Linked DNA regions of Oryctolagus cuniculus. The protein of the gene in region 2 purifies or fractionates together with the protein of the main gene of each other region. This does not show direct contact. Links are inferred from orthologs where the notes say so. Each region holds a gene or a part of one and is shown on either strand. Other genes may lie near its edges.

Evidence for each region.
Region 1: the proteins of FBXL4 (region 2) and CUL1 purify together in Homo sapiens (affinity purification with western blotting; 4 studies listed by BioGRID, with this or other methods). This does not show direct contact. The link is inferred for Oryctolagus cuniculus from reciprocal best matches to the Homo sapiens genes FBXL4 and CUL1.
Region 3: the proteins of FBXL4 (region 2) and BNIP3L purify together in Homo sapiens (affinity purification with western blotting; 4 studies listed by BioGRID, with this or other methods). This does not show direct contact. The link is inferred for Oryctolagus cuniculus from reciprocal best matches to the Homo sapiens genes FBXL4 and BNIP3L.
Region 4: the proteins of FBXL4 (region 2) and BNIP3 purify together in Homo sapiens (affinity purification with western blotting; 4 studies listed by BioGRID, with this or other methods). This does not show direct contact. The link is inferred for Oryctolagus cuniculus from reciprocal best matches to the Homo sapiens genes FBXL4 and BNIP3.

The regions. Positions count from the first base shown.
Region 1 is NC_091434.1:174,806,374-174,813,782, forward strand, and holds part of CUL1 (cullin-1), read right to left. Parts: intron 4,279-7,409; coding exon 4,228-4,278; intron 4,039-4,227; coding exon 3,948-4,038; intron 3,308-3,947; coding exon 3,144-3,307; intron 1-3,143. UniProt on the Homo sapiens protein: Core component of multiple cullin-RING-based SCF (SKP1-CUL1-F-box protein) E3 ubiquitin-protein ligase complexes, which mediate the ubiquitination of proteins involved in cell cycle progression, signal transduction and transcription.
Region 2 is NC_091436.1:72,837,902-72,845,310, forward strand, and holds part of FBXL4 (F-box/LRR-repeat protein 4), read left to right. Parts: intron 1-3,322; coding exon 3,323-3,668; intron 3,669-7,409. UniProt on the Homo sapiens protein: Substrate-recognition component of the mitochondria-localized SCF-FBXL4 ubiquitin E3 ligase complex that plays a role in the restriction of mitophagy by controlling the degradation of BNIP3 and NIX mitophagy receptors.
Region 3 is NC_091433.1:47,854,928-47,862,986, forward strand, and holds the start of BNIP3L (BCL2/adenovirus E1B 19 kDa protein-interacting protein 3-like), read right to left. Parts: upstream 5,454-8,059; 5' UTR 5,298-5,453; coding exon 5,198-5,297; intron 1-5,197.
Region 4 is NC_091446.1:1,009,117-1,016,525, reverse strand, and holds the end of BNIP3 (BCL2/adenovirus E1B 19 kDa protein-interacting protein 3), read right to left. Parts: intron 5,512-7,409; coding exon 5,361-5,511; intron 4,863-5,360; coding exon 4,778-4,862; intron 3,250-4,777; coding exon 3,143-3,249; intron 3,077-3,142; coding exon 2,927-3,076; intron 1,508-2,926; coding exon 1,462-1,507; 3' UTR 827-1,461; downstream 1-826. UniProt on the Homo sapiens protein: Apoptosis-inducing protein that can overcome BCL2 suppression. May play a role in repartitioning calcium between the two major intracellular calcium stores in association with BCL2.

The DNA.
Region 1 (7,409 bases), on a different chromosome or scaffold from region 2:
TTTATTTTTAAAGTTTTAAATTAGAAGGGAAAGCACTGGATCTAGTGGTTCAAACAGCTCAGTCCCATACCACGGTGGCTGGGCTTGATCCCTGCTGCTGGCTTCCGATTCCAGCTGTATGCCCATGCGGACAGCACAGTGGAAGCAGTGGTGATGGCTGAAGGCATGGGTTCTTGCTGCCACACAGATCTGGATTGAGTTGGCTCCAGTCCCAGCCGAGCGCTGGCCACTGTCGGCATTTGGGGAGTGAACCAAGAGATGGAGACTTGCTCTGGCTCTTCTTCCTTCTGCCTCTCAGATAAATTTTGAAAATTTAAAAATCTTGGGGCCGGCGCCGTGGCGCACTAGGTTAATCCTCTGCCTGCTGTGCCAGCATCCCATATGGGCGCCGGTTCTAGTGCTGGTTGCTCCTCTTCCAGTCCAGCTCTCTGCTATGTCCTGGGAAAGCAGTGGAGGATGGCCCAAGTGCTTGGGCCCCTGCACCCGCATGGGACATCTGGAAGAGCATGTGGCTCCTTGCTTCAGACTGGCGTAGCTCCAGCCATTGAGGCCATTTGGGGAGTGAACCAACGGAAGGAAGATCTTTCTTTCTCTTTCAGTGTTTGTAACTCTACTTGTCAAATATAGAAAAATTTTTTTAAATAAAATTTAAAAATCTTAAAAAAATGTTACAAACCTGAAATCATGCAAAGTTTTAATAGTTCAGATTAATCTCAACCATGTGAGATAGTAAGACACCATGAAAATACTGCCATGGCTTAGGTTTGTTTGCTGATCAAAGCCACCCTTAGAAAGACAAGCCAAGGAGTCTCAGATATTCCCACTAAAATTCTCCTGCCTACAGAGAAGAGCATACTGAGGCCACCAGGGAATCTGTGAATCTAGCCCCAACTGGCTGCTCAAGAATATGTCTTAAAAAAAATCAATACTTGATATCTCAATATTGTTCATGATATGTTTTACTGTAATTCCTGATAAAATGTATGTTTTCATATAAACATTTCTTCCCAAGTTACTGAGTAACATTTGTTCTCTTCTGCCACGTGGCTTTGTACCCTCTCAGGCACATACTAGGGGTTCTGTGAGATGTGTGTATGTAACACCAAACACACCGGGCTTGCTACTTGCCACACACTATTCTAGCACTTTGTCTTTCTCTCTCTCTCTCACACACACATACACTTTAAAATTATTGTAAATTATTTAAAAATTAAAGCTTATTTAATCTTCATTACCTATTATTATTCCCTTTTTATAAATGAAGAAATTACGGAAGAGAAAGGTTCAGGTCGTCCCCTAAGTAAATGGCAGAGTACGGATTTAAAATTAAGATTCACGTCCCAGTTTGAGACGAAAGGTTACAGAATAGAACTGCTCACATGGCTAAATTCTCATTTCATGTTTATAGATTCTTTGCATTACAGACTCTGAGAATGTGATGGAAAGCATGTTTGGTACGATCCAAGCAGATATGAACTGAACTTTTAACTTCTCTAGAAAAAAATACCTTTATGGGAACCAGGAAGCAGGAAGCATATTGCTACCTGAGGCGGGGCTCATGCTGGACTGAAAATATTCAGGCCATTGGATGGAAACGCTAGTTTCTCAAGTTGCCTTTAGCTTTAGGGCTGATTTTAAAAGCAGATTTCTCTGCTTTGGGATGCCTACAAAGCTCTGTCCTATAAAGCTGGTCTCCTTGCACCAGAGAGCTACCACCGTCCTAAGTACAGAGAGCTGACTTTAATAATCATCATAATCTACTCAGAAGCCTGAAGTAGGACAGTTTTGCTCCCCCACTGCATACATGTACTCTGATAACAGGTTCCACCTTAAAAACATATGGTTTAAAGGAGTCACCACACAGGAGACTTCAGCAAGAGATATATTCACTGTCAAACTATAAAATGAAATAACAGGCAATGCTAAGATTCAAAACAGATTACGTTTCAAAAGCTCATCTGTCAGGCAGTTGTTTGAAATGCTGAATGAACTGGCTGGGTTCCAGGTCAGCATACAAAGTCCATTTAACCCCAAAATACACATACACAAGGAACTATTAATATTTCAAGTATAATACTTCTGAACCAATCCATTTTTTCTTAGATTCTGAGCTATCAGTTTTTGTTGTTATTCTAAGCCCCAATTATAACTGCTATCTCCTATGAGACAACACATTCAGAACACCACAAACTGGACAGGACTTTATCGCTTATTTTCTCACATCATACAAGAGGAGGCGAGTCTGCAGTCCCTCACCAGGTGCACAGGGAATAAGATCAAAGCAGCCACCAGACCAACAAGACCCAGACTCCCTAGAAATCTAACTCATCTAGTTCAAGGATCAGCAAACTTCCACGTAGGCCAGATCCAGCCTACCACCTTTGTTTTTCTTCTTAAATACAGATGAAGTGGTACTGGAACCCAACCACACCCATTTATTCACAGGATGTTACGTCTGCTTTTGCCTGCAGCACCAAGAGAGACCACATGGCCCACAATGCCTCAAGCATTACTATCCAGTCTCTGGCAAAAAACGTTTGCTGACTCCTGACACAGGTCTTTCCTCAGAGCCCAAGTCCAGGATTCCTGTATTTCTAAGAAAGTGAATACAGAACAAATCTGTTAGAACTTGGTCATATCACTCGGTACAGAAAAGGACTGGAAACCCTGGTTTAATCTTAGGTCTTGTCCCACATGAGAAACAGGATCCTGCTGTGTCAGAGACTACTCCTCTACCTTCAACCTGAAACTGTTATAGATTCTCAGGGAGACATGTTAGAAGAAAGCAAAAACTTACTCACAAATCTGAGAATATTTGTATCTGAAAATGTTCTCACTAACATGGTAAGACCGAGACAACCCTAAGATATTTACGTTCTAGGAAAAATAGTTCAAAACAAAAGTCACACAGCTTTTATATATCTGTAAAACAGCCAGAACTTTCAGGCATGGTCAGCAAACAAATTTATAAAAAGCTCCCTGGAGAATTAGAAGAAGTATTTACACCTGCTGAAGACATGCTAGGACAACAATGCCCAACAAATGACTTGTGTGAAGAAAAGTGCATATGCTATTTTAAACAGTAACTCATCTGAATGGCACATTTTTAGCTTGTCTACTTTAAGTACTATATTTAAGCTTACCTTTTTCATATATTCGGTAACTGGGTTCTGTTGCAAGAATTCAGTACTCTCTCTGGTATAAAATCTTTCTGTGTCAGCCAAAAATTGAGATTCAAAGGATTCTTTATACACTGTTAACGTAGGGCCCTTTGCAAATGCATCATCTTCATTCAGCCCCAATTCCACTAGAAATAAATATGAGCTGCATTTCAATTACCCTATTTTTTGTTGTATTTCACAGAATATACTTAGATAAAAGATTAAGTTAGGCATAAAGGTAAATGTGAATGGCAGAGCATAAGGTAATTATTATTCACTAATAATAAAGTGCATCGCTCAATAGAAGAAAAAAGCCAGGACACACAAAAATAATTGACTCATACCAGGTATCCTTTAGAATTATCATGAAGTACATTTGGAAAACTTCGTATTTCCAAAAGCAATAAAAACCTCTAATTTAAACTTTCAAAGAAATACCATGCTATCCAAGGTTTTAAATACTGTGTTAACTTATCAGTTCCTCAATGTTTCAAGCTGATAGATTTCTATTTATCATTCAGTTCAATAGCATTCTATCATTAGCCAGTAGCTAATTATGAGATCAGAAAACTCAAATGTCTATTTCATTAAAGTTTCTCAAAGGCATAAGGATCAAACAACTTTTAAGAGGGTAAAATCAAGTAAAATATCACCAAATAGGAATTATGAGTACCTCTGTAAATGCTAACAGTCCTGATGATATTAAATGTTTTTTAAATGAATCTGGTATGGCACTGTTGTGACTGTAATTTGACATGAAAACTCCAAATAACTGAAATTATTTACCATAAGACTGTACAACTCCACTAATCAGTCTTGTATTGATGGTTTCACCATTTCTTTCCTTTTCAATCAGTTTTAAGACAGCATTTGTTACCTTTAGAAAGGAAACATGAAATATATTAGAGATTACAGTATTTAATATTTAATATCCCATGTCCCTTAAACATTCAGAGCCATTAACAATGTGAGATAAGGGATACTCTCAAGATGTTCTAAAGGACAGAGGCAGGAAGCTGGCAAAGGATCATAAAAGAGAACACACAAAGTTCTTCAGAGTGGGTACCTGTTTATTCAATGGCCTGAACAGACAATCTCTCCAAGTCACCAATGCAAGCTGGACAGAAAAAAAGAAAAAAAAAAGTGTAAAATGCCTATACTCACTGTTTTCCCAAGACATCTGAAGTCACAGGAAATAACCTGAATACAAGATGTCATCAAAATGTCCAGATTATAACCTGGCAAAAATTTATTACCATGATGAAATCAGACTACTGCACGAGCTAGAACTTCAAAAGGTATCAGCTCACATTTTAAGTTTAAAGGAAATTTTGCATTTAGAGAGACAATTCATACTGGCTTAAAAGACAACAGTGGATTCAATCTATGAATGTGTTCCCTGGATCAAATAATTTTAATATTTGACCTAAAAGAATAAAGATAATTCCATTTATCATCATGGTTTCCTAATAGTCTGCAAAATAAATTATAGACTATAAAAATCTATCAACTTTCAAGTTCTTTTTTGTGGTGATGGTATACAGATGCACACAAATATAAATAACTTTAAATTTTACATACTTCAAATGGATGTGGTTTACTATAGATTATTCAGATTCCTACTTCTCCTCGCATGTGTTTATGCATATGTGACTTCTTTTTAATGAAAACATTCAAAGATGATATGGTTTATTTTATCCATTTCTCTAAACTCCCCACAGGAGTCATGTTAGCAAATTAACTAATAATATAAAACATTCTCTGAAACAGGAATATTAGAATTCATACATGGGTATTATTTGTTGGGAGATTATCCAGTTAAAATGAAATTCAGATTTTTTAACACAAGAATACAAAATGCTGAGAAGTTCATTTAAATATAAACACAATCAGCCTTACTTTTCCCAAATTTAACTAGAGGTGCAACTGGGTTTATATTCATATTGTATTTATGAAAAGGTTATATGCAAATTTAATCTATATAAAGAACTTCAAAGTAGCAATTCTGCTAAAAATGTAAGAAATAACATGAAAGCAATATTAAAGGAAATATTAATAACACATAATATACACTCGAGCCTAACATAACAAGGTAGAATGCGTGGGTTTTGAAGGTAAATTAAAGAAAGGTGAGCCATGACAGACATACTCTAGAAAGTACCCTCTACTTCCTCTGTACTTTCTGTAACTATTGTTAAACATAGTACAGGAGAAGTTAAAAACTAGGGATTTTTAAGAGTCTGTGGTTCAAGAGAAATCTCAGACATGGAAAGCCAAGACACTGTGGCAAAAAATGACCTCAATGAAAGATCTGAGGGAGACCTTGGTGGAAAGAAGAGGCCATCAAAGGAGGTATCTTTCTCTGAAGGGAAGAGAGAACTTCCACTTTGACTATGGCTTTGTCTAAATAAGGTCAGAGTTTGTGAACTCAAGAGGCTTCCATAGCTTTGGCAGCTCCAGACAAGAGTCTTGGGTGATTACTGGCGTCATAAATAAGAGTGACAATTGCTAAATCAACAATGGGAGTCACGGTGTACTTACTCCCCATGTAGGATCTCTGTCCTTAATGTGTTGTACTATGAGCATTAATGGTAAAACTAATCTTCAAATAGTACTTTATACTTGTGTATCTGTGCAAACTGTTGAAATCTTAGTAAATATTAAGTCGATCTGTATATAAAGATAATTTAAAAATGAATCTTAATGAAGAATGAGATAGGAAAGGGCGTGGGAGATGGGATGGTTTGTGGGTGGGAGGGTGGTTATGGGGGCAAGAACTGCTATAATCCAGAAGTTGTACTTTTGACATTTATATTTATTAAGGGCCAGCACTGTGGTGCAGTGGGTTAACGCCCTGGCCTGAAGTGCTGGCATCCCATATGGGTGCAGGTTCAAGACCCGGCTGCTTCACTTCCTATCTAGTTCTCTGTTGTGGCCTAGGAAAGCAGAAGATGGCCCAAGTGCTTGGGCCCCTGTACCCACGTGGGAGACCCGGAGGAAGCTCCTGGCTCCTGGATTCGGATCAGTGCAGTTCTGGCCGTGGCAGCCAAGCCAATTGGGGAGTGAACCAACAGATGGATGACTTCTCTCTTTCTGCCTCTCCTCTAACTCTTTCAAGTAAAATAAATAAATCTTTAAAAAAATTTATATTTATTAAATAAAAGTTTTCTATATAAAAAAGTCTATGGTGGTGTTGTAGGACACACAGGGTGTTTTAGGGCAAGCAGGTTTCCGAGAATAAATCAGTCAAAACCATGCAGGTCCTACACTGAGAGCACTGAGCCTTAAGAAAGGATTTGTACGTGGATAAGAAAAGCCTATTCGTCATTCCACCATGGATACAATTTCAAAGCAACATGTTGTACATGATAAACATACACAACTTCTGCCAACTGAAAAAATGTTTAAAAAGAAATAAAGAAAAAAACGAGTAAAAAACCTCAAAAAAGCTAACCCCAGAAAGTTTAAAAACTTAGTAATGCTGGAACAGGGGTCTGGTATAGTAGTTCCCACTTCGGACACCTTTACCCCACAGGGTGCCAAGGTCCATCCTGGCTTCTCCCCCAGTGTCCTGGGACGCCTATATCCCACAGGGTGCCAGAGTTAACCTCAGCTTCTCTGCTTCTCCCCCAGCGTCCTGGGATGCCTATATCCCAAAGGGTGCCAGGGCCAACCCTGGCTTCTCTGCTTCTCCCCCAGCGTCCTGCTAACTTATACTCTGAGAGGCAGCAGGTGATGGCAAAGTACTCAGGCCCCTGTTGTCCCTTTGGACTGACTTCCAGATCTTGGCTTTGGTTTGGTCTAGCCCTGCCTGCTGTGGGCCTTTGGGGAGTGAACCAGTGGATGGAAGATCTTGTTCTCTCTGTCCTGCCTTTAAAATAAAATGAAAATAAATAAATTAAAAAAAAAAATCTTTAAGGGGCCAGCACTTTGGCTGTGCTGGGAAAGCAGTGGAAGTTGGGCCAAGCACTTGGGCCCCTGCCACCCTTGTAGGAGACCAGGATGGAGTTCTAGGCTCCTGGCTTCGACCGGGCCCGGTCCCGGCTGTTACGGCCATTTGGGGAATGAACCAGCAGATGGAAGAGCTCTGTCTATCTCTCTCCCTCTGTTAACTATGCTTTTCAAGTAAGTAAAATAAATCTTAAAAACAAAAAACAAAAACAAACCCAAAACTCTGTAATACATAACAAAGTACCAGTATGAAGCAGTATCAGCTCTGACACAGACATTGAGCTATATAAACAATAA
Region 2 (7,409 bases):
TGATAATAAACGCGTAAATGTACAGAATACAGAGGCTGTTACTTAAAGCAGTTCAATCACAGCGTCACTGCCTGGGTCCAGATGAGGATGGAAAGAGTTGGGGCTGTCTCCAGAAGTGTGTGTGGATGTGTTTCTGAATGCATGGTCAGGTACACATGTTTCCATTTAGTTGCTTGTTTTCACTGGTCAGTTTTTAAGATTCTGGCTTTAGTTGTATGGAATAAAAGAAACTGGTATAGTCTCTTCTTGGGTATAATAGGTACTTTTCTAACTTTGAAATGATACATTCTGATTTTAAAAAGGAATTTGACACAAAAATTCACTTTAAAGTAGGTACCAGAAAATCAATTTATGTTAGTCTCCTAGTTAATGTTAAGTATTCATATACCCGTAATATTTTAGTACTTTTTCTTAAGAAAAAATTTAAAATATGTGAATAAACTAATGATTCCCTTGGAAAATATTTTATATTTAGACATTTTAAAACCTTTTGATTAATATAATAGAGGAGATTCCAGTATTTCATAGGTATAGTTCTAAGAAGGTAACCATACTTAATTTAAAAAAAAATTAAAAATAAATTTAAAAAAGAATTTCAGGTGTAAAAATGATAGGTGTTATAAGTATACACACTAATATGGAATTCTGTATTAATAGAAAAATCATAAATCCAAAGTAACCTTTTGTGGTGTAAATTTTAGCAATCACATGATGTTTATCTCTTTGGTAATCTCATTTATTTGAACAATCACCCTTAAATTTTATTTTTATAACACTTTTTACAGAATTCACAGAAAATATTTTTATTAATGCCCCAAAAAATCTTTCTAAAAACTATTAAGATCCTGTTTTTTCTGCTTTAAGTATGCTATCATTTTTATATCATCTGATGTATGTTTGACTAGATACGTAATGTTCATTCTTCATAGAAGTCTTGAGCAAAAATGATGTTAAAATACCATTAATCCTGATATGTTTAAGCGTGTAGAAATGTTAAGGGTGTCAGTTTAGAGCATCATCTTCACCTTGTCTCTTTTGCATATTCTGCAAAGGAAATGGAGAGGTCTTTGGTAGATTAATGCATTATTAAAATAGAATATTTATTCTCTAATCAGTGCCTTTCTTTAAGCTTATATTTGTAATTTTATAATTTAATTTACATTATAATGTATTTCAAATTATACATGAGGAACATGTATTGTCTGCATATTTATTTATTGCAAAGTCTCTGGTGGAGGTGATTTCTGTATTACATTCTCAAGGTTTCTCTTAAGTATCACAAAACTCTTCCTTGAAGCCAAACAATAAAAATAAGCTGGTTTATTCCACATGTGTTGTGAACTCCATAGGCAGTTATTTCACAGGATCCTGAGTAGTCCATTTTTCTTGGGCATGAGGAATTCCTCCAATATCATCTGGTAATGTCATTTTGCAATAGCAACAAAAGGAGGAATAAAATCAAGGTTTGAATTTTTTTTTATACATTCTACAGTTTACTCCATGATTCTTGGAAATAGGTGTTCCAAAATCAGGCATGCATTTGCCCACCAACATCAATCCATCCATTCCTACTTTTGTGCTGTCAAGGATGCAAATACTCAAAAACTGTTTATGTTTGGTGGCTTTTGTTCCTAATTTTCAGGAGAGAATCAGTAGAAACATCAATTATGTGGAGATTATAAAAGTACTAGAAACTGTAAAAGTTCCTACTGTTACAGTTTCCTGTTCTGTGGTTCCAGATTCCATTGATGATATGTTGGCTGGAATCCCCTCTGTGTTTTTTGCCTTGATGCTTTTGTTCCTAAAGGTAGAAAGTTTCATACTTTCCTTCTCCATTCTTCTGAAATTAGCGCTACCTACCTTCTTGGCCCCCAGACTATTAGGATGTCTGTTTATTGATGGCCTCTATAGTTTTGGCTCAGATTTCTCCCTCATGTTTCACACTCTTGCATATTTTAGCTTCCTATGCATCTTGGCATAGTTAATCAGTTTTTACTTAGATCTCAGTAGGTCAAGGGGCCAAAGAAATGAAACAATAGTTTATTGACAAGGAGTAGGGGAAGCCTCATGATGAATGAACATACAGAAACATCTTAAGTGTTATTAGTAACTAGTGAATTATAAATTACATCATAAGGAGATGTGACTGCCTGTGAAATTAGGAGGTAATTTGAAAAATAGATGACGTTTTCAGTGCTTCTTTTTGTATACTATAGACATAAATTTTTTAAAGCAGTTTGTAAAAATTTATCTTTTGACATAAAATATTTACTTAAAAATCCCAATAGTAGAATAAATTATGAGAAATAGAAGAAAGACGTTTATTGAAGGATTTTTATCTGTTTCTAATTTTTTGTTTATTAGGAAATAATATTAGAAAAATAGTAATTATGACATACATGAGAGTGTTAGCTATATAATGATACCATATTGTAAAGAATCTTTAATCTTGAGAAACAGTTTTATAAGAACACTTACATAGAGTTGGGACTGGAAAAATTAGATGGGCAGGTCTTAGTAGGTTGGCCATTTCATTGTGAGAGGACAACATGAACAAAGACACAAAAGTGGAATTGAGTTTATTGTATGATTAATGATTAAAATGATGATTAATCTGGCTGGGGAGTGGGGGTTCATTTGGAGAGACAGGGAGAGTGCTATTCACCTGTTACTAGGTACTGGGGACATAAGGATGACTAAAAGATGACAAAAATGAAAATTCAGGAGAAGTCAGATATGAGACAGTCTCCTGAAAAATCTGGCAAAACTTAATGATATGATGAAAGAGAAAGTTAAAAAGAATATATGGAAGTTTTGAGTTTGTATGAAGCCAGTAACAGTCATAGAAAAACTTGAGAAGGAAACCTTCATGAGGCAAGATGATGGGTTTTGTTCTACAGTTGGTTTAGGATGCACACACAGAAAAGACGTTTGTCTTGTGTTCTGTCTTTTTAAGGTTAACTTATTCTATAAAACTGGATGTTTTTCAGATCTCTCTGACCAGCTATTCTAGTATTTAAACTGACCATTGTGAAGTTGCAAAAACCAACCAACACACCAAATAAACACACAAACAAACAAACAAAAAAACAGGGTTTTGGGAGGGCTTGTTAAAAATAACAATAAATTCAGTAACTAGGCCTACGTGGTTTTATTTATAAAAATTTCCTATGTCCTGTAAGCAGTATGTATATTTGATTCTATTCCCTTTTTTTGATGCCTTTGTTTCACACTGTAACATATTGGGGATGGGGCCATAACCTTAAGGAACCAATAGATCTCATTCTAAACTGTATTATAGGGAAGTTTCTTTCTTTGGCAGATGGGAGATTCTTTGGTCAGAGAAACCTACGAAGGTGAATGCTTCCCAGGCTCGCCAGTTTAAACCTTGTATTAAGCAGATAAATTTTCCCACAAATCTTATCCGACTGGAAGTAAATAGTTCTCTTCTGGATTATTACACTGAATTAGATGCAGTTGTGCTACATGGTCTGAAGGACAAGCCAATGCTGTCTCTCAAGACTTCACTTATTGACATGAATGATCTAGAGGATGAAGACTATCCTGAAGAGGCTGGTTGTGGAATGGACAATCTTAACAAAAAATTTAGCAGTGTTGCCCTCAAGGAAGGGCCAAATAATGGATATTTTGATAAACTACCATATGAGGTAAGCCAAAAATATACAGTAGTAATATTGGATATATCAGTGTAGACTTTTCAGTGTTTTGATATTTATGTTTATTTTGCTAGATATCAGAGGAATAAAGGCATTGATAAGGTTTACATAATTTGATATGTTGTATATTTTGATTTTGGAAAAAGTATACAAAATTATGTTAAGTAATTTCATTGCTTTTGTTTTAGATTAACTTTAGTGATTCTAGATAAATAAATTATATCACTGTTTAACAGGAACCAAATACATAAGCTAATAATAAATTTCAGCCTACTTTAATTCATAATTATACTATGTAAGTATGGGCAATATGTGATTATAAAGTCATGTCAAATATAATTTGCTGTTAATTATAAAAGAGTAAAAAGATTGTGAGATGAATGCTTATTTCATTTAGAAGTCCACAGTTTCTCTGAGTGTTATTTCTTCTTCTTTTCAAATTGTATTCTGTGTTCTTCAACCTACAATTTTAGGCCTAGGTAGGTTCAGAGAGACCACCAGGAAATACTTTTTTATGTGTCTAGACTGATCCTGTATTCAGGATGTGTGGTTGTACAGGAACACCCCTGCAGTATATTTCACATTCTTGGCTATCAGGCATCAAGTGCCAGTAGCATTCTAAAGCCATGTGACACCAAAACCTCTCCTCACTTATTTCCAGATATCACGTGGGGTGGGAGCAGTGCTAGACGTTTCTGTCTCCTGCTGAAAACTACTGTGCGCAGTTAAAAATAGCACCAGCTTTCTTTTTAAGAAAAATTTATACTCCTTTCTTTTCTTTCTGTTTTTTTTTTTTTGTTTGTTTGTTTGTTTGTTTGATTTATTTATTTGACAGAGTTACAGACAGTGAAAGAGACAGAGAAAGGTCTTCCTTCCATTGGTTCACTCCCCAACTGGCCGCTACGGCCGGCGCCAGGTGCTTCTTCCTGGTCTCCCATGTGGTTGCAGGGGTCCAAGCACTTGGGCCATCTTCCACTGCTATCCCAGGCCAAACCAGAAAGCTGGACTAGAAGAGGAGCAGCCGGGACTAGAACTGGCACCCATATGGGATGCCGATGCTGCAGACAGAGGATTAACCCACTGTGCCATGGCACTGGCCCCGATACACCTTTCTTTAGAGATTTATTTATTTATTTTGAAAGTCAGAGTTACAGAGAGAGAGGGAGAGACAGAGACAGAGAGAGAGGGATCTTCCATCTACTGGTTCACTCAGATGCCACCATGGCTGGGACTGGGCCAGGCTGAAGCCAGGAGCTTCTTCTAGGTCTCCCACATGGGAGCAAGGGTCCAAGCATTTGGGCCATCCTCCACTGTTTTCCCCAAGCCATTAGCAGGGAGCTGGATTGGAAGTGGAGCAGTTGAGACAGAAGCAGGTTCCCATATGAGAAGATGGCGGTTTTACCTGTTATGCCACAGTGTCGACCCCAATGCTCAACTTTAAACAAACTTAAATTACCCTCCTTTCAAACTGGTGGTTATTTCCAGTTTCATTGTAATAACTAATTTAACGTACAGGGAACAATATGACAGCCTCTTAAATGCCTGATAGTGACTATAATACCTGGTCATCATTTTACAGCTAAAATGCTGTGGTTTATCCTGTGAATAGCTAAAGTTGCCACATAAAGATGAATTGAAGGAATATATGGTAGGTGGTTTACTCAGAAAGGCATGGGACCAGGACCCCATCCAGGCCTTCTGAATCAGTTCCTGAGGTATGAAGAGGAAGCATCATTGACAGAATGGACAAATCGTCTGTTCTTAATGGGATGAGGGATAAGTTGGTGAGAGACGAGCAGGAGACAGTGACACAGTGGCTCCTTGGTGCTTTAAGGAGGGTATGTTCTCACAGTCGTGAGTGGGGGCATTGCCTTAGGACAGTGGGTCACTTCTTGGATTCATACCCCTTCTCACAACTAGAAATTTAACTTCAGTGAACATATTTTAAACAATTTATAGAATTTTAACCATACCTATTAAAAATGCTTGACACATAAAATTCAAGTGAATAACTGAGGGGAATCTAGGCAAAGGAAGGAGAGTGTACAGAGGCAAAAGTAAATGAAACCGTGTCTGCCTCTAGTATTTCAGTATGGCTGAAATAATAAAGTTATCTTTTAATCCCATTTCACCGCAAAAGTTAAAAAAAATCAACTTACTCTTTTATCCATTCAAGGTAGAGTATAAAATTATTACAGGTATGATGTCTTATAACTTACCTTCTAAAGGATAAAAAGATAAGGGTAGTGCTAGAGGATGCCACAGAGTGGAAAAGTTTCTGTTTGTGATGAAGGTTGGGAGAGATTTCAGCATGTTTATATGCTGAAGGGGAGAAACCTGTCGAGACAAAAACCTTCAAGTACATGCAAGCAGTTTAGTCAGTACAACAAAGTCCTGTAGAAGAAACCAGGAGTTGGGATCAGTTCTGGAGGGACGTTCGTTGGCCTTGGTGAAAGAAGTGTACCATGTAAGGAGTAATACTGTGAAACATTGAATGATCTCACAGTGAGTAAAAAGAGAAATACTTAAAAAGTGTTATTTTGAAAGTAACACATTATTTCAAGGGGAAATTAAACCATATTTAAATATGTCCAATGATACCGTGTTCTCATAGTTTAAATAATTGTATTGAATAGAATTAATTTTGAGGATAGATAGATCAGGGTATCTCTTTGTACTAACTGCTTAGAAATTATACTGAAATAACTGAATATTAAACAAAATTTTAATTCTGAAAATAGTTGGAGAAGTGCCCCAACTATTGCCAAGTTCAGATGATTCATGGATTCTTGCTAAGATTTAAGAAAAAAAAACATAGTAGTATCTAAACTTTCATAGAATAAAAAAGTTTTTAATTTCTTGTGAAACTAGTGTTATGCTGATTAAGATAGTATGCCAAAAACTACAGAACAGTTTTATATATGTAAACAATTTAAATATAGCATATTGGATGATTTTAAAAGGGTATTATAAGAAATCATTCAGCATTTCTGGAATTCAAGGGTGTTTGCATATCAGAGAATGTACACAATAATAACGGTACAGGCCAACAAGAAGAAAATCCTGTGATCATCTCAGCAGGTGGCAAAACTGCTTAACAAGTGATAGCTATATAGATATCAAATTGTATTCATTTCTTTTAAAAAGGAAATACTTTATTAATCTATCTACTAATTGGCTGTTTTCAGATATAATAGCCAAGTTATCATATTTAATTATCAAACACTAGGAGTACATTGTTGGATATGATAATCACAAGTCATATATATTGTTAAGCACCTGAAACATGGCTAGTCTGAACTGAGATATGCTGAAAAAGCAAAATATACACAAGATTTCAAAGACATTTCAAAAAATGTAAAATATCTCAGTAATTTTATACTGATTACATGTTGAAATGATCACTTTTAATTGCATATGCTAAAAACTAACTCCATCTGTTTCTTTTTGCTTTTAGAAATGTAGTTACTAAAAATTTTGAAATTACATATATATGTTTTCTCCTGTTTATGGGACACATTGGAATTAAAAGCAAGAATAAGACAACAATGTTATTTTGAATTGTTCTGGATGTGTAAACCAATGCTAGTAAACACAAGAAAGAAGGAGAATGCATAATTTTTGGATAGGAGGCTGTAAAAGTTATCATTTGCAGACAATATCATTATAGCTGAGAATTCTTAGGAACATAAACCAAAAACAATAAGTAAATTGGCAGGTTACAAAGTTAAT
Region 3 (8,059 bases), on a different chromosome or scaffold from region 2:
ATATATATATATATATATTATTTTATTTGTTTGAAAGGCAGAAAGAAGGAGGGAGAGAAACAAGTCTTCCATGCTGTGGTTCACTCCCCAAAAGGCCGCAATAGCCACGGCTGGGCCAGGTAGAAGCCAGGAGCCTGGCACTCCACCCAGGTCTTCTACACGGGTGACAGGGACTCAAGTACTTGGGCCAAGTTTTGCTGCTTTCTCAGGCACGTTAGCAGAGAGCTAGATGAGAAGCCGAGCAGCCGGAACTCAAGCGCTCTGCTATGGGATTCCAGTGTCCTAAGCACAGCTATCCTGCTGCGCCACAACACTGCCCCTCGAGATGACTGAATATTTAGAGTGCCTCTGAAGTATAAGTACACCGAAAGTATCTCTCCATCTACAGCTCTGCAAAATATTTCAAGAGGGTAGGAGGAGGGGGGAGAACACAGTATACAATAAGCGTCCTTTCTACCACCGTTTCTGGGATTCACAAACTTCTTTTAAAATTTATTCATTTATTTTCATTTTTTGAAAAGCAGAGAATCCTACAGAGACAGAGACACAGATGGAGAGAGACCTTCCATCTGCTGTTTTACCCCTCAAATGCCCACAAAATTTTAAAAATATTTTCTGGCACTCACTGGCATTGTGGCCCAGTGGGTTAAGCCACCATCTGTGACCCTGGCATCCATACTGGAACATCTGTTTGAGTCCCAAATGCTCCGCTTCCAATCCAGCTCTCTGATCATGTGCCTGGGAAAGCCCCTGCCACCCACGTGGAAGACTCAAGAGAAGGTTCCTGGCTCCTGGCTTCAGCCTGGCCCTGGTTGGTGGTGGCCATTTGGGGAGTGAACCAGCAGATGAAAAATCTGTCTGCTTTCTTTCTTATATATATATTTGTATTATATATATAATGATATAATATGTATATCATATACTATATATATATACACATATATTTACAGATTTATTTATTTTTATTTGAAAGAATGAGAGATACAGAGAGAGATTTTCCATCTGCAGGTTCACTCCCCAGATGGCTACAGCAGCTGGGGCTGCACCAGGCCAAAGCCAGGAGCCAGGAGCTTCCTCAGATCTCCCATGGGAATGCAGGGGCCCAAGTACTTGGACCATCTTCTACTGCTTTCCCAGGAGATTAGCAGGGAGCTGGATCAGAAGTGGAATATCTGGGAGTTGAACCAGTATGCTTATGGGATGCTGGCATTGCAGGCGGTAGCTTAATCTGCTATGCCACAATGTGGGCTCCACTTTGCCTTTCAAAAAAATAAACAAATATTTTTAAAAAACACCGGGAACTCCATCCCAGTCTCTCATGTGAGCGCAGGGGCCCAAGTGGTTGGGCCACTGTCCACTGCTTTCCCAGGTGCCTTAGCAGGGAGCTGGATCAGAAGTGGAGCAAACAGGACTTGAATGGGTGCTGGCCACAGATAACTTTCAACGTCAATACATACTAACATTTATTCTTTTGAACAACTGCATTGCATCTCATCATTTATAAACTATACTTAAACTGTTATCCCGAATTCTTCTTTCTAATATTCTGTCATTATAGTCAGGGCTTCAGAGGGCATTCTGGAGGATAATTTGGCAATATTGTCTTTATCTTTAGAGTGAAACACTGAAAAACAAATGTGTCTTTCTCAATAGATGAACTACACATGCCTTTTCCCTTCATCTAGTTCATTCATGATTTACAGCCTCCGAATTCTGTAAGCTTCCCACTAGCAATCCTCACAGAGTCCCTTTTAACTTGGAAAAGAAACAAGGCAAGATATGAGGACTGTGCTGTCCAAGCAATACAAGTAAAAAGCAACCTCAAAGTGAATTCTCTTCCTAAGAATCAGCTTAAGAACCCAAAGCTGGAAGCCTTCTCTATTATTTTAAAAGACTATTTACAAACGGCAAGGTGTTCCTTTAAGCCAGTTTATACATACACTCAATTACATGGGATAGTTTCTAGTTTAAGTCTTTGATCAGGTAAAGGCTGGTCCAATAACTGTGGGTTACATTCATTACTGTACACTGTACGCTCTTTACAGTTTTATAATTGCCAATTCAATTATCTTTCAATAATGGGAGTAGGGAAGCTGAGAGTCAAGGAGAATGAGAAAAAAAAAACACTTTTCACATTTTTGTCCCATTTTTGAGGCCCTAAATGTCACTCACCCTAACCAGGGGATGGCATTACGTTTACATTCTTCAGTCAAAGCCTTTCGATTGTCTGTCTCAAGTACCTGATGCTGGAATCCAGACCAGAACAATCGTCACCGGCATTTGGGTACAAGTTAGTCTTTTTTGTACATGTGGTTTCTTACTTATTCCAAACACTATTATGAGGCAGGGACGGTCCATGTGCCACAGCCTCAACAGCCCTCTTGGCATACTGGAGAAGCAAATACACTGTGGTTGAAGGAGTTCAAAAAGAAAGACAAAGTCTGTGGGGCAGGCATTTGGCACAGCAGTGAGACACTGCCCGCATCCCGTATCACAGTGCCTGGGTTAGCGTCCTGGCTCCACTCCTGATTCCAGCGTCCTGCTAATGCGCACGCTGCAGGCAGCAGGTGATGGCTCAAGTGCTGGGTGCCTGCCCCGTGTGGGAGATCCAGATCGAGTTCTAGCTCCTGGCCCTTGCCTGGCCCAGCCCTGCTGTTGCAGGCATTTGAGGAATAACCAGAAGATGGGTATGTCTGTCTCTCTCCATTTCAAATAAATTAATTTTTTTAAAAAAGTTGTAATTCCCACATTAAACCACAAGAACTACACTGCTTCTATGATTTTCCTTATACTGAGTTTTATGACAAACTTTTATTCAGATATTCTTAAGGAACATGATAGTTTTTTTTAAAGCATAAAACTAAGAACCAGAAAATATTTTTTTATCTTGAGAAAGAGTTTGGATATTTGTGCCCTAATTTGTTATGAAAACACAGTTGCCCTAGAATGAATGATAAATTAAAAAAAAAAAAACCTTTCAGAGAAAGGCTTTACTATTTAAGTATTTCAATAAATTGCCATTAAACTCTGCTTTGACCCCTAGACCAAAGATAAAATCCTAACCAGAGATAATCACGATGAGTTTCATCTCCTGTTTTCACAGTCGTGCTTTACCCAACAGAGTACTCCAACTTATCAGCAATTCATAGTATTAAATGTCTGAATAAGTTGTTTTGCCAGATGCCCAAAAATCACTTGAAGGAATCAATAAGGCTTCTTGTTTTGTTCAGTCCAGTGTTGTGTAACGAGGGAGAAAAAAAGGATCAGAGGAAGAAGCAAGAGAGGAGTAATTTAGTATGGTATTATCTGAAAGTTTTGCAGTAACTTAAAAAGCTCACATTACCCCCAAATAAAACACTTTCTACCTAGTGGATTCCCCAAAGCAACATCTGGTATCACCTGCAGGCGGGGTGTTCTTCCACTTCTCTAACAGCTAATGTAAACGTAGCAGGAACTGATTGGCCAGACATCAAACACCAAGATAAACAATCATATACAGCTCAACCCTCCCTCTTGCTTTATGGTAAAGGGTCACAGGAACATTAAAACTCCTTTGGACTCTGGGAAATCACGTACACATACTAAACACATTTCTTACGCATATGAAAACAGCACAATTAAGAAACAGAATACTATAAAGATAGGCAGCCACCGATGTACATTCGACAGAAAAACATGCTGAGGGTAAGAAGCACCCGTGATCAGGGACTTGGGACCCCAGGGAAGGTCCCGGATGGGGCACCCGAGGAGCTGAAGGGGGGTCCTCAGCTCTAGGTCCGGCCAGCTGTCAACCTGAACGAGCCCCCTCACTCTAAACCCCGTTTCTATCCCCAGATCCACGCTTCCAAGCATGTATGCCAAAACGTGACCAACAAGTAAGATCTAAAGACTTCCACTACTCCTAACTTACTGCAGGGGAAACAGCAGAGATCTTACATTCTAGAACATTCCATACACACTTACAAGTTTAAAAACAGTCAACACTGAGAATTAGTCCATCAACGACCGACCACCTGCCACAGGCAGAGAAAGCATCTAAAAATACCCAGCTTTCATGCCCACTCTTCAGGGGACAGGGACTCTCTTCCCTAAAATAACGTTCTGGCCACGCTGGGAGCGCTTTCCTCTTAGGAAAGAGACGGTGTGACCTTTAAGCATCCAAATGGTTGTTAAGCGACTCGGTCTGGCCATATGCTGGCTGCCTCCACCACCTCTTTCCTAAGAGCAAATTACAGAAAAAGGTTAGGCAAGAACCTCGGAGCTCTCACCACCACTGGCAAGATGTCTGAGCCCCAGGCTGTCAGAAGTACCCGGGGTCCGTCCTAGCGCCACCCTGCCACTGTCAACCACCCGTGTGCCTGTGATGGGTGTTTTAAATCCCATGTGTGAATACCCATCGCCCCAGACTCCGCGTGGGCTGGAAGTGGGGCTCATCTTAAAACAGGTTTACTGTGCACGCTACTGCATCGTTGAAAAAGACTTGAGCAACTTTGCAAATCTCACAAAGCAGCAGCAAAGAAAAAGAAATGAAAGGCACAGGCTGTGCACCCCCACACGTGATTCGAGTCACCACGAAATTGCCAAATGGGTTTCCCCGACCGGCATGTGGCAACAAAGGATCGCAACCGAGGGCTGCCGGGCCCCGCCCGGGCAAGCCCGGCCCGCGGGGCACGCTCGGCAGGGGCCCCACGGCACACCTGCTCCCCGACACGTCCTCGGCCGCCCCTCCCCTGCCCTCCCGCGCCGCGCGTCCATCCCCCGGCGTCCCCGCCGCACGTCCCCATCCCTGCCCACGTCCCCTTCGCGGCCCGCTCCGCCCACCTTTCCGCCCCGCTCCCCAGGGCCCGCCCCCTCCCTGCCCCGATTGGCTCTGCTTCAGGGGCCTACAGGTGGGATCTGCCCTGCCCCAGGGGCAGTCTGGCGCGCGATCCCCTTTTCTCCCCACCCTCCTCCCCTCCCGGAGAGCGACCACAATTGGCACCCAGTCCAAGACCCCAGGAGGGAGCGGAGACTAGCCAAGAGGAAGACTGAAGCGCCTCCTCCTGACAGGTGACGGGAGCTGTCAGTCAGCAGAACATCCTCGGGCTTGACCAATGGGCTGCCTTCTCCTCCCGCCCCCCGCGCGGCGCTGGTGGCGGCGGCCGGAGCAGCTCCTCCTCCCCCATCCCCTTCAGCGAACCCGTCGGCGAGCACTCACTGTTGAGGCCGGTCGGTGGGGGCAGATGCTGGTCACCGTCCTCGCAGTTGTTGTTGTTGTTGTGCAGGGGCGGCGGCGGCTCGACTAAATGAGACGACATGGTCGGGCGTCTGGAAGAGCTGCGGCCGCACCAGGACCGTCTCCGGTTCTCGGGCAGCAACACAACAAGCTGAGTCCCCCGCCCCCTTTTCTGCGCCTGCGCAGTCCCTCCCCTGTAGCTGACGTCAGGGTCCGCCCAAGCCACGTGATGACAACACAACAAGCGGCGGGGCTGGGCGGGGCAGGGGCGTTCCTGTGCGGGCCCGGACGTGCGGGCGCGGGAGTCACGCTGACGCGCGGGAGGGTTGAATTCCTTCTTGTAATTTGGAGTGAGTGATGCAGATGGCACTGGGAGAGAGGATGGGCGAGCAGTGCAATGCAGGTGTCTTCGCGAGCAGAACTCCTCCCACACCTACACCGCGCTCGTTGTTTCTGTCAGTCTCCGAGCATTTAATTTTTAAAATACCTGTAAGGACTCACTGCGGCACAGGAAGCCGAAAGCCTGATGGGACATCAGCATTCCAAGCAGGGCACAATATAGGGCTATCTTTTGGTTATTACAGGATTCGTAACACTCCATCATGGTTAAAAAAAATCCCTTCAGGAAAACACAGTGAAGAAAATAATCGCCGCATTCCCCACGCGGCTGTTTCCGGGCCACCACGTGGGAAGCCACGTGTCTGGTATGTGGGTGGCACTAAATTCCTTTGTTCCTAAACAGCCCGTCTACTTCGCTCTCTTGTCTCCAGAGGCCCGGTCCCCTGGTGTCCTTGGGCTGGCTGACCTGTTGCCTGCGGTGGCATTTGTGACTTGTCTTTCGTGTTGCTTCGCTCTGCAGATGTTTTAATTGCTCCTGTATTGTTTTCATGTCATGTCCCCCTGGCTCAAACCAAGATTAGGAATCCACTCCTCCTGCCCTTGTAACTTTTTCTAATTCCCTTATAGCCTTAATTTTATATTTAGGCCCCAGTCCACCTAAAATTCAATTTTCACATGTTATTTAACTTCAATTCTTCCCAATTTTGTAACCAATTGACCCAACAATATTTACTGATTTTTAAGTCCTCCCTTCAACCCTGATTTGAAATTGCATGGTCTAAATGCCCACAGAAACAAGTCTGTCTCAGGGCTGGTTACTAGAGAGCCTCTCTTCATTTGTCTTTTGAAAATGACTGATTACCCTTCAGATGAACTGAAAAAATGGGCTTGCCAAATATTGACCATGTGTTGGCGATTACTGAAGCTAGGTAATACATGAATATTAAACTCTTCTTCCAGTGTTTTCATTTATTTGAAAAACTTTGTACTTAAACATTTTTTAAAGGATTAGTAGGTCAAATCCTATTGCAAATAAATTTTTATATAGATTTATTTGTTTCTTTGGAAGGCGGAGTGACAGAGAAGGGGGAAAAGGGGAGATAGAGTGAGCGAGTGAGAGAGAGAGAGAGAGAAATCTTTCTTCTGTTAGTTCACTCCCCAGATGGCCTCAATGGCCAGGTCTGCACCAGGCCTAAGACAAGAGCCAAGTATTTTATAGTTGGGCCATCCTCAGCTCCTTTCTCAAGCATATTAGCAGGGAGCTGTTTTGGAAGCCAGAGCAGCTGGGACTCAAACACTGTCCCACAATGTTGGTTCCCTCTTGCAAATTCTTTTAAGATTTTTGTCAGGGGGCCGGTGCTATGGCGCAGTAGGTTAATCCTCCACCTGCGGTGCCAGCATCCCATATGGGCACTGGTTCCAGTTCCGGCTGCTCCTCTTCCACTCCAGCTCTCTGCTGTGGTTTGGGAAGGCAGTAGAAGATGGCTCGAGTCTGTGGACCCCTACACCCATATGGGAGACCTGGAGGAAGCTCCTGGCTCCTGGCTTCAGATCAGTGCAGCTCCACCGTTGCGGCCATTTGGGGAGTGAACCAGCAGACGGAAGACCTTTCTCTCTGTCTCTCCCTCTCATTGTTTGTAACTCTGCCTCTCAAATAAATAAATAAATAATATAGTAATTGAGGGGACCATGGACATATTTGCAAAAGTGTCTTCCCAGAGCAGACTGTCATATATCTTTGTGTTCTGTTTTCCTTTCAGGCACTTCTTCAAAAGATTTAAACATCTCATAATATTTTTTGAGCTTTGTTATAATCCTTTGCTAGTTTTATAAAAACTAATTACAATATTTTCTTTTCTCCAGGCTTAAGTAGATGAAATTGAAATTACTTTTTTTTTAAGATTTATTTATTTGTTTGAAAGGCAGAGTTACAGAGAAGCAGAGACAGAGAGACAGAGAGTGGTCTTCCATCCACTGGTTTATTCCCGAGATGGCCACAACGGCTGGAGCTGCGCCGATCCAAAGCCAGGAGACAGGCACTTCATCCTGGCCTCCCATGTTAATGCAGGGGCCCAAGCACTTGGGCCATCTTTTTCTGCTTTTCTCAGGCCATTTAGCAGGCAGCTGGATCAGAAGTGGAGCAGCCAGGATGGTGGTATTTCAGGCGGAAATTTAACCTGCTACTCCATGACGCCAGTCCCATGAGATTCCTTTTTTTTTAAAAAAGGAATTTATTTATTTGAGTAGTAGAGTTATAGGCAGAGAGAGGGAGAAACAGAGGGAAAGATCTTCCATCTGCTGGTTCACTCCCCAAATGTCTGTAATGGCTGGAGCTGGGCCGATCTGAAGCCAAGAGCTAGGATCTTCTTCCAGGTCTCCCACGTGGGTGCAGGGGCCCAAGCATTTGGGCCATCTTGCACTGTTGCTCTCCCAGGCCATAAGCAGAGAGGTGGTTCTGAAAAGAAGCAGAGGGAACAAGAACCAGTGCCCATATAGGATGCCAGC
Region 4 (7,409 bases), on a different chromosome or scaffold from region 2:
ACTTGAGGCCGGCGCCGCGGCTCACTAGGCTAATCTTCCGCCTGCGGCGCCGGCACACCGGGTTCTAGTCCCAGTCGGGATGCCAGATTCTATCCCGGTTGCCCCTCTTCCAGGCCAGCTCTCTGCTGTGGCCAGGGAGTGCAGTGGAGGATGGCCCAGGTGCTTGGGCCCTGCACCCATGGGAGACCAGGAGAAGCACCTGGCTCCTGGCTTCGGATCAGCGCGGTGTGCCGGCCGCAGCATGCCAACCGCGGCGGCCATCAGAGGGTGAACCAACAGCAAAGGAAGACCTTTCTCTCTCACTGTCCACTCTGTCAAAAAAAAAAAAAAAAATTTACTTGAAAGGCAGTTACAAAGAGCCAGAGAGAATCTTCCATCCGCTGGTTCACTCCCCATTGGCCACAATGGCCGGAGCTGGGCCGGTCTAAAGCCAGGAGACTTGGGCATCTTCCACTGCTTTCCCAGGTCACAGCAGAGAGCTGGATCGGAAGCAGAGCAGCCAGGACTCGAACCGGTGCCTGTATGGGATTTCGGCATTGCAGGCAGCAGCCCACCCGCTACACCACAGCGCTGGCCCAGCCCCAGCACCAAAATACTCCTCCCCAAACCTGTCACTTTGAAATTCTTAGAGTCTGATACTCAGAGCAGATTCCTACAGGTGGGTCGTGTCACTCGTCTGTATTTCCAGAGAGCCCGCCCATCCGGCTGCTCTAGCCCCGGCCCCCGGCCCCCTGCCCCCTGAGCCCCACTAATGCAGGACGGAGAAGGGAGGACGGGCCTGGCTTCCTGATGTCGATGTGAAACTGCACATGAACACAGTACCCTCTGAAGGTTTGGCAAACATTTATTTTTTTCTATTTCCAGTCTCTTAAAAGTAGACAGATTTGCTTTACAAGGACACCGGGGTCAAGCACAAAGCAGTGCAGGAGGAGAAGCGAGGGCACCCGGCCGACCCCAGCGCCCAGGGAGCAGCGCCTGGCCGACGGAGCACGGGGTGGGGCTGCACCTGCCCCCACCCCGTGTCTAAGCATGACTTAGCAACAATGAGCTTAATCAAGTGTCTTCAGTAGACGACCTTATCCATTAAATGCAGCACATTTCCTACAACGGTGTGAATGTAAGGCCACGATTCTGTTCTAGACAGACCCCTTGCTGTGCTGATTTCCCATCCACATCACTCCCTCGTCTGCACGTCGTGTTGACTGGATTCACGTGTCAGCTCCACTTCTCATGCTATAGGACATCATGGCTGAGTATTAGAACTACCTACCAGATATTTCTACCTAATATCCTAAGAAAACTGGCAACCAGACCGGTGCAGGCGGTACTCATCAGCCTGACATGCGCACTGATCGGTTCCCGCACGGCCCGCGTCCGTTCTTGCACTCAGGGAACCGCGCAGCCGCAGCGACCCCCGGGTGAGCGAGGGCCACGTCCACGTGCACGTGCGCGTCCACGTCCTCAGAAGGTGCTGGTGGAGGTGGTCAGACGCCGGCCGATGTAGATGCTGAGCGGGAAAGAAGGCGGTTAGTCCCCCGCCCGTGGCGGCACCGCCTAGATCTGTTACACAGGACGTGAGGCCGCCTCTCCTGTGAACCCCCACCGAGCGCCAGCTGGGCACAGGGCAGCGCGGTTACCCTGCGCCAGGCGGGCGCCCTGCTTAGTGCCTGCCGCGGCCGGGTACAGGCCAAGTCGCCCAGCAGGGCGGGCCGGCCTCACTCTGAGCCACCTACCAGCTTCTGCCCTCAGTCCTGGGGAGAGGCGCCCAGGGCGTGGGGGAGCGGGTGGGTGCCCACCCGGGGAGGCACGAGGAGGGCTCTTCAGGGAAGGGCAAGCACAGAAGCCCGGCCGCCCGGGCCTGCAGGAGCGCGCGCGGGCTCTGTCCCCGCGTCAACAGGAAGCTGCTGGCACCGCCGGGCTCCGTGGACAGAGCTGCGTCCCGATACGGCCTGTCCAGTAATGGAACCTGCCTCCGGGGACCGTCCCCCAGCTGTATGGAAAGCTCGGAAATGACACTCGGACTCCCTGGTGACACGGGCGCAGCCTGGTGACTCCGGAAAGCTCTGCCAGAGCCGTGGAGCAGCGTGGGGAGGGGCGGGCGGGCGACCCCGACCCAGCGGACAGCAGCTGCGGCCCAGGAAGCAGAGGGGTGCCTGCCAGGGGAGCCAGGAGGAGGGGTGCATGGCCCTGGCCAGAAGTCATCTCCACGGGCGGGGAAGGACAGCCCCACAAGGTCCCGCAGGACGGGAAACAGACGGCCTCGCTGGCCACGGGGACGGGGTGGGGGAAGGGAGGGGCTCTGCACCCTGCCCCAGGCACGCGCGCTCGGGCCAGCCCAGACGGAACACGTGCGCACACCAGACTGGGCGAGCCCGAGGGAGAGCGCAGCTGGGGGTCCCGTCAACCCCCCGCTCTGCCGCGCTGCTCGAGCTGAAGTCAGAATTATATCCATCTTTTCTTTGACAGACAGACACACACACATCTTGCACCCACTGGTTCGCTGCCCGGATGCCTGCAACAGCCCAATCTGGAGTGTGGAGCTCAGTCCAGCCTCCCGTGTGGGCGGCAGGGGTCCAAGGACTTGGGCCATCGCCTGCCCCTCCCAGGGAGACCAGCAGGGACTGGAGCCGCGCCGGCCTGTCGGGGTCACAGGCTACAGCCAGGATGAAGTGGCCGAGCCGTCCAGCAGGGGGAGCCAGCTGAGCGCAGGCAGGCGCCACGTGCTGTGCGCGAGGGAGGCTGGCTGCACCACACGCGTGATGCACGCAAGGCAGACGGGACCCCCTGCTTGGACGCCACGTCCTCGCGGGACAGGAGGCACGGCCAGGTGTGCGGGGTGGGGACACAGGCTGTGTGGACACGCCGCCGGCACAGCCGGGAGCTGGCCCCGAGGCCTGAGGCCGCGCGGGCCGCGGGCCGCACCTACCCCAGCCCGATGGCCAGCAGGTGAGAGAGCAGCAGCGACGGCAGGAAGACCTTGAGCACGTCCGCCGAGAAGACGCCCCCCTTCCTCATGACGCTCGTGTTGCGCATGCTCAGCGCGGCCGCGCGCCTCGGGTGCCTGAAGAGGAGCTGCCTGCAGGGACAGGGAGGTCAGCCCGCGCCTGCGCACCCGGCGCCCGCCAGCCGAGCCCAGACTCACTTCGGGGGGACGTTCTCCGGCCGGCTTGACCAGTCCCATATCCAGTCTGAGTTTTTCTTTAAGATGCTTTCCACTTCTTTCCTTCTCTCAATGAAATCCTCCTCGGACTGAGAAAACGGGAAAAGCAGATCAATCGCCACATCCACAAGCGACAGCGTCCACTGCACCCAGCGGCAGGCCGGCAAGCTCGGAGGGAGCCAGGCGCTGGCGGCCCGGGGGACGAGCGGACAGAACCCGCCGCGAGGTCCTGCCCAGAGCGCCCAGCCTGGACTCAGCGGGATGGCGGTGGCGCCAGGAGCGGCAGCCGCGCTTCCAGGGAGGCCCGTGACGCGAGCCCGCCAGAGACGCGCGTGGAGGCACAGGCAGGGGAAGGTCCTCCCGTGGGACGCGGAAAGCAAAGAGGTCTACAGACCACCGCGGTTTAAGCTGCATTTAAAAAAATCAGGTATCTGTACAAAATACTAATTAAAAGGGATTTTAAATGCAGGAATGTAGGTGTTTTCCTTTTTGCATTTTCAAAATTCCCCATCTAATCATGAATTCCTTTTTAAAAGCAGGGGAAATAAACAATGCGAACACCCACAGCGTGGGTCCACCGAGCCGCACTCGGGCCTCACAACCGGCTCCTGCCACTCAGTCTCTGCCCGTGCCAGGGGCGCCGCCCCGGCCAGTGCCGAGGGTACCAACTGCCTGCTAGCCCCGCCTCCCCCCCAGCTCTGGGGGTCACTACAGACAAGCCATTTCAGAACACACACACTGCATCTGACAAGCGCAGCACTGCACTCCTGGGTACACTGAACACAGCACTGCGCTCCTGGGTACACTGAACACAGCACTCCTGGGTACACTGAACACAGCACTGCACTCCTGGGTACACTGAACACAGCACTGCGCTCCTGGGTACACTGAACACAGCACTCCTGGGTACACTGAACACAGCACTGCGCTCCTCGGTACACTGAACACAGCACTGCGCTCCTCGGTACACTGAACACAGCACTCCTGGGTACACTGAACACAGCCCTGCGCTCCTGGGTACACTGAACACAGCACTCCTGGGTACACTGAACACAGCACTGCGCTCCTGGGTACACTGAACAGCCCTGCGCTCGTGGCCCGAAACCCCAGAAAGACCTGGGGCTCACACTCAGCCTTCAGAGGGTCTGCAGCCCCGCCCACAACAGCACCGAGCGCCTGGTGCACCAGGCTGAGTTCAGGCTGGTGAAGCGGTCTCACCCTGGGCTCCGGCCGCTTAGTTGCCAGTGCTAAGCCCCGCGCTGGGTGCCAGGAAGGACCCGGTGTCTGGAGTGAGAAGGACGCCCAGAGCCACAGCAGGAGGTAACTGACAGCCAGTGAGGCCCAATCGGCCAACCAACAGCGGAGGGAACGCGCCCAGCAGGGGGCTCCCTGCCACCCTTCGACCTCCCCCGGGCCGCAGGCACAAGGGAACGCTGTCTCGCTTGCCGGGAGTCCCTGGATGGTGGCAGGGCACCCACGCTCCACGTTCCTCCCTCCACGCCTTCTGTGGTCAGCTCAGTGATGTCCCTCTACTGGGGACATCCCCACCCAGAGCCCCTCAGAGCCAGGCCTGTCCCGCTCAGCGCCTCCGAGGCTGCGGCCCCTTCCCGAGCCTACCTGGGAGCTGGTTTTCTCCCCGGTGCTGTGCGTGTCCGTCTCAGAAGCTCTGGTAGTGTCCTGCGGTGTCTGCGAGCGCGGCGGGCTTGGGAAGGTGTGAACAGAATGGAAGAACAGACGGCCACGTCAACATGCTACCAGAGAGGCAGGGCCCGTTCGCAAGGACCGAACTCCTCCGTCTTGACAGCGGAGCAAGTCAGCCACCGGGTGTCCCCCAGAAGAGGCGGGGGGCTGACTGCCGCCGCCAGCTCCGTGGTCCGCCTCCCGGCTCTGGGGAGCACCCAGCTTTAGACCAGTGACTCGGCCCCGCCCTGACCAGGACCCGCAGAGGCGTGTGTTCCTAGAGACCGACCATACTGCAGCTGCGAGAAGGGCGGGGCTCCGCTGTTTCCGGGGGGCTCCTTTGCTTTATTTGGTCCCCCCACAGACAGCCCCAGGTCAGCTTCCCCACCAGGGGGCGCAGTCCCAACATCAGAGCTGTTCCCGAGTGCAGCCCCCTATCCTGGAATCCAGGCATCCCGTTGATCCATGGACCATCTCCCCAGGGCAGCAGTCCTGCCACGCGCGGCCTGTCCACGCCTACCTGTCACAGTGAGAGCTCTTGGAGCTACTCCGTCCGGACTCATGCTGGGCGTCCAGCAGGATTTTCTCCAGGTCACCATTATAAATAGAAACGGAGGCTGGGACGCCGTTCCCGTTGCCATTGTTGCTGAAGTGCAGTTCTACCCAGGAGCCTGCGGGACGAGGAGGGAAAGGGGGCGTGGCTGGAATGCAGCCAGCCTGGGACTGGAACGTGTACCCCTGCAGGCCTTCCATTCCCAAGAGGTTCCCCGGCGACACACAGTGACCCATGTCCGTAGCACACACGCCCCCACGCAGCCTGGGCTGGCCTCGCCCTCACTCCCCGTGCACAGGCAGCCCGTTACCAGACAGAGGTTCGGTACCTGTCCAGGGTGCACGCCTGCACGGGCTTCGGCTGGGCACCTACTGAGCAGGAGGATTACTGGGCTGAAAAGTAACGTGTGCTCGGGTTATGAGCAAATGGTCCCACTTTCCCACACAGCCGACGGGGCCGCGGCGCCTCACGCCGAGCCCCTGCGCTTTACCTGCCGTTTCACTTTTTTTTTTTTTAAAGATTTATTGATTTATTTGAAAGAGTTACACAGAGAGAGAAGAGAGGCAGAGAGAGAGAGAGAGAGAGAAACAGAGAGCTCCCAACTGGCCTCAGCGGCCAGAGCTTCAGCAATCTGAAGCCAGGAGCTTCTTCCAGGTCTCCCACGTGGGTGCAGGGCCCAAGCACTTGGACCATCTTCTGCTGCTTTCCCAGGCCACAGCAGAGAGCTGGACTGGACGTGCAGCAGCCAGGGCACAAACTGGTGCCCTATGGGAGGCCGGCACTGCAGCGGCGGCTTTGCCCTCTGCGCCACACGCCGTGCCCACTGGCGTCTCACTCCTAATGAGGGTTTCGCTTCTCATGACTGTGGGTCACCTGGACCTCGGCCTGCACCACGGCTGTGTGCTCCCTGCACAGAGCCTTTCGCACGTGATGCTCCCCTGTGGCTGCTCCCCCCATGCACCCACCTGCGTGCCACCCCCACGCGACCTGAGACGGGACAGCTGCGTGCCGCCCCCACCCGACCTGAGACGGGACAGCTGCGTGCCACCCCAACCCAACCTGAGACGGGACAGCTGCGTGCCACCCCCACCCGACCTGAGACGGGACAGCTGCGTGCCACCCGACCTGAGACGGGACAGCTGCGTGCCGCCCCCACCCGACCTGAGACGGGACAGCTGCGTGCCACCCCCACGCGACCTGAGACGGGACAGCTGCGTGCCACCCCCACCCGACCTGAGACGGGAAGCTGCGTGCCACCCCCACGCGACCTGAGACGGGACAGCTGCGTGCCACCCCCACCCGACCTGAGACAGGACAGCTGCGCGCCGCCCCCACCCGACCTGAGACGGGACAGCTGCGTGCCACCCCCACCCGACCTGAGACGGGACAGCCTCGCTCCCCTGCACTGCGGTGCCCCCTCGTCAATCCAGCACACAGACAGACGGCGGCCGTGTCACACGTCTGCTTGACTGTATAGCAAAGATCTGCTCACAGGTAATGCAGGCGGCACACAGAGGTACGGGCTGCAGTAGGGAGAAGACGGAGGCAGACTACAGAAGATCGGGAGAAAAGTCATACTAGAAAATGAGTAAGTTAATTCTGCAGGCACTACCATTAAGTACAGCAACCATCACCCAGCTGTGCCTGTGCTACACCCACGCAGCACCACGCAGCACCACGCAGCACCACGCAGCACAGGGAAGCAGGGCAAGTTCCCGATGCCACAGCACCTCTTCTGGGGGAGGCAGGCCTGGCCCTGTGCACAGAGCGCACCTAACCATCCGAAAAAGCACCAAAGGCAGGCCTGGGAATGCAGGGTGGGTTTGCAGCAGACACGGTCACCAGCCCCAGCCCCACGCCTTCTCTGTGCAGCTGCCTGCACTGCCCCGCGCTGGCCCGGCCCACGTGGGGCATCATTAATTCACACGGGCCCGGGCTCTGCAGCACTCCAGTCTCCCCGGCCTGGGGACGGTGGCCCCTTGAACGCGGAGCCACTCCCCGGGCCGCGGCCTCTGG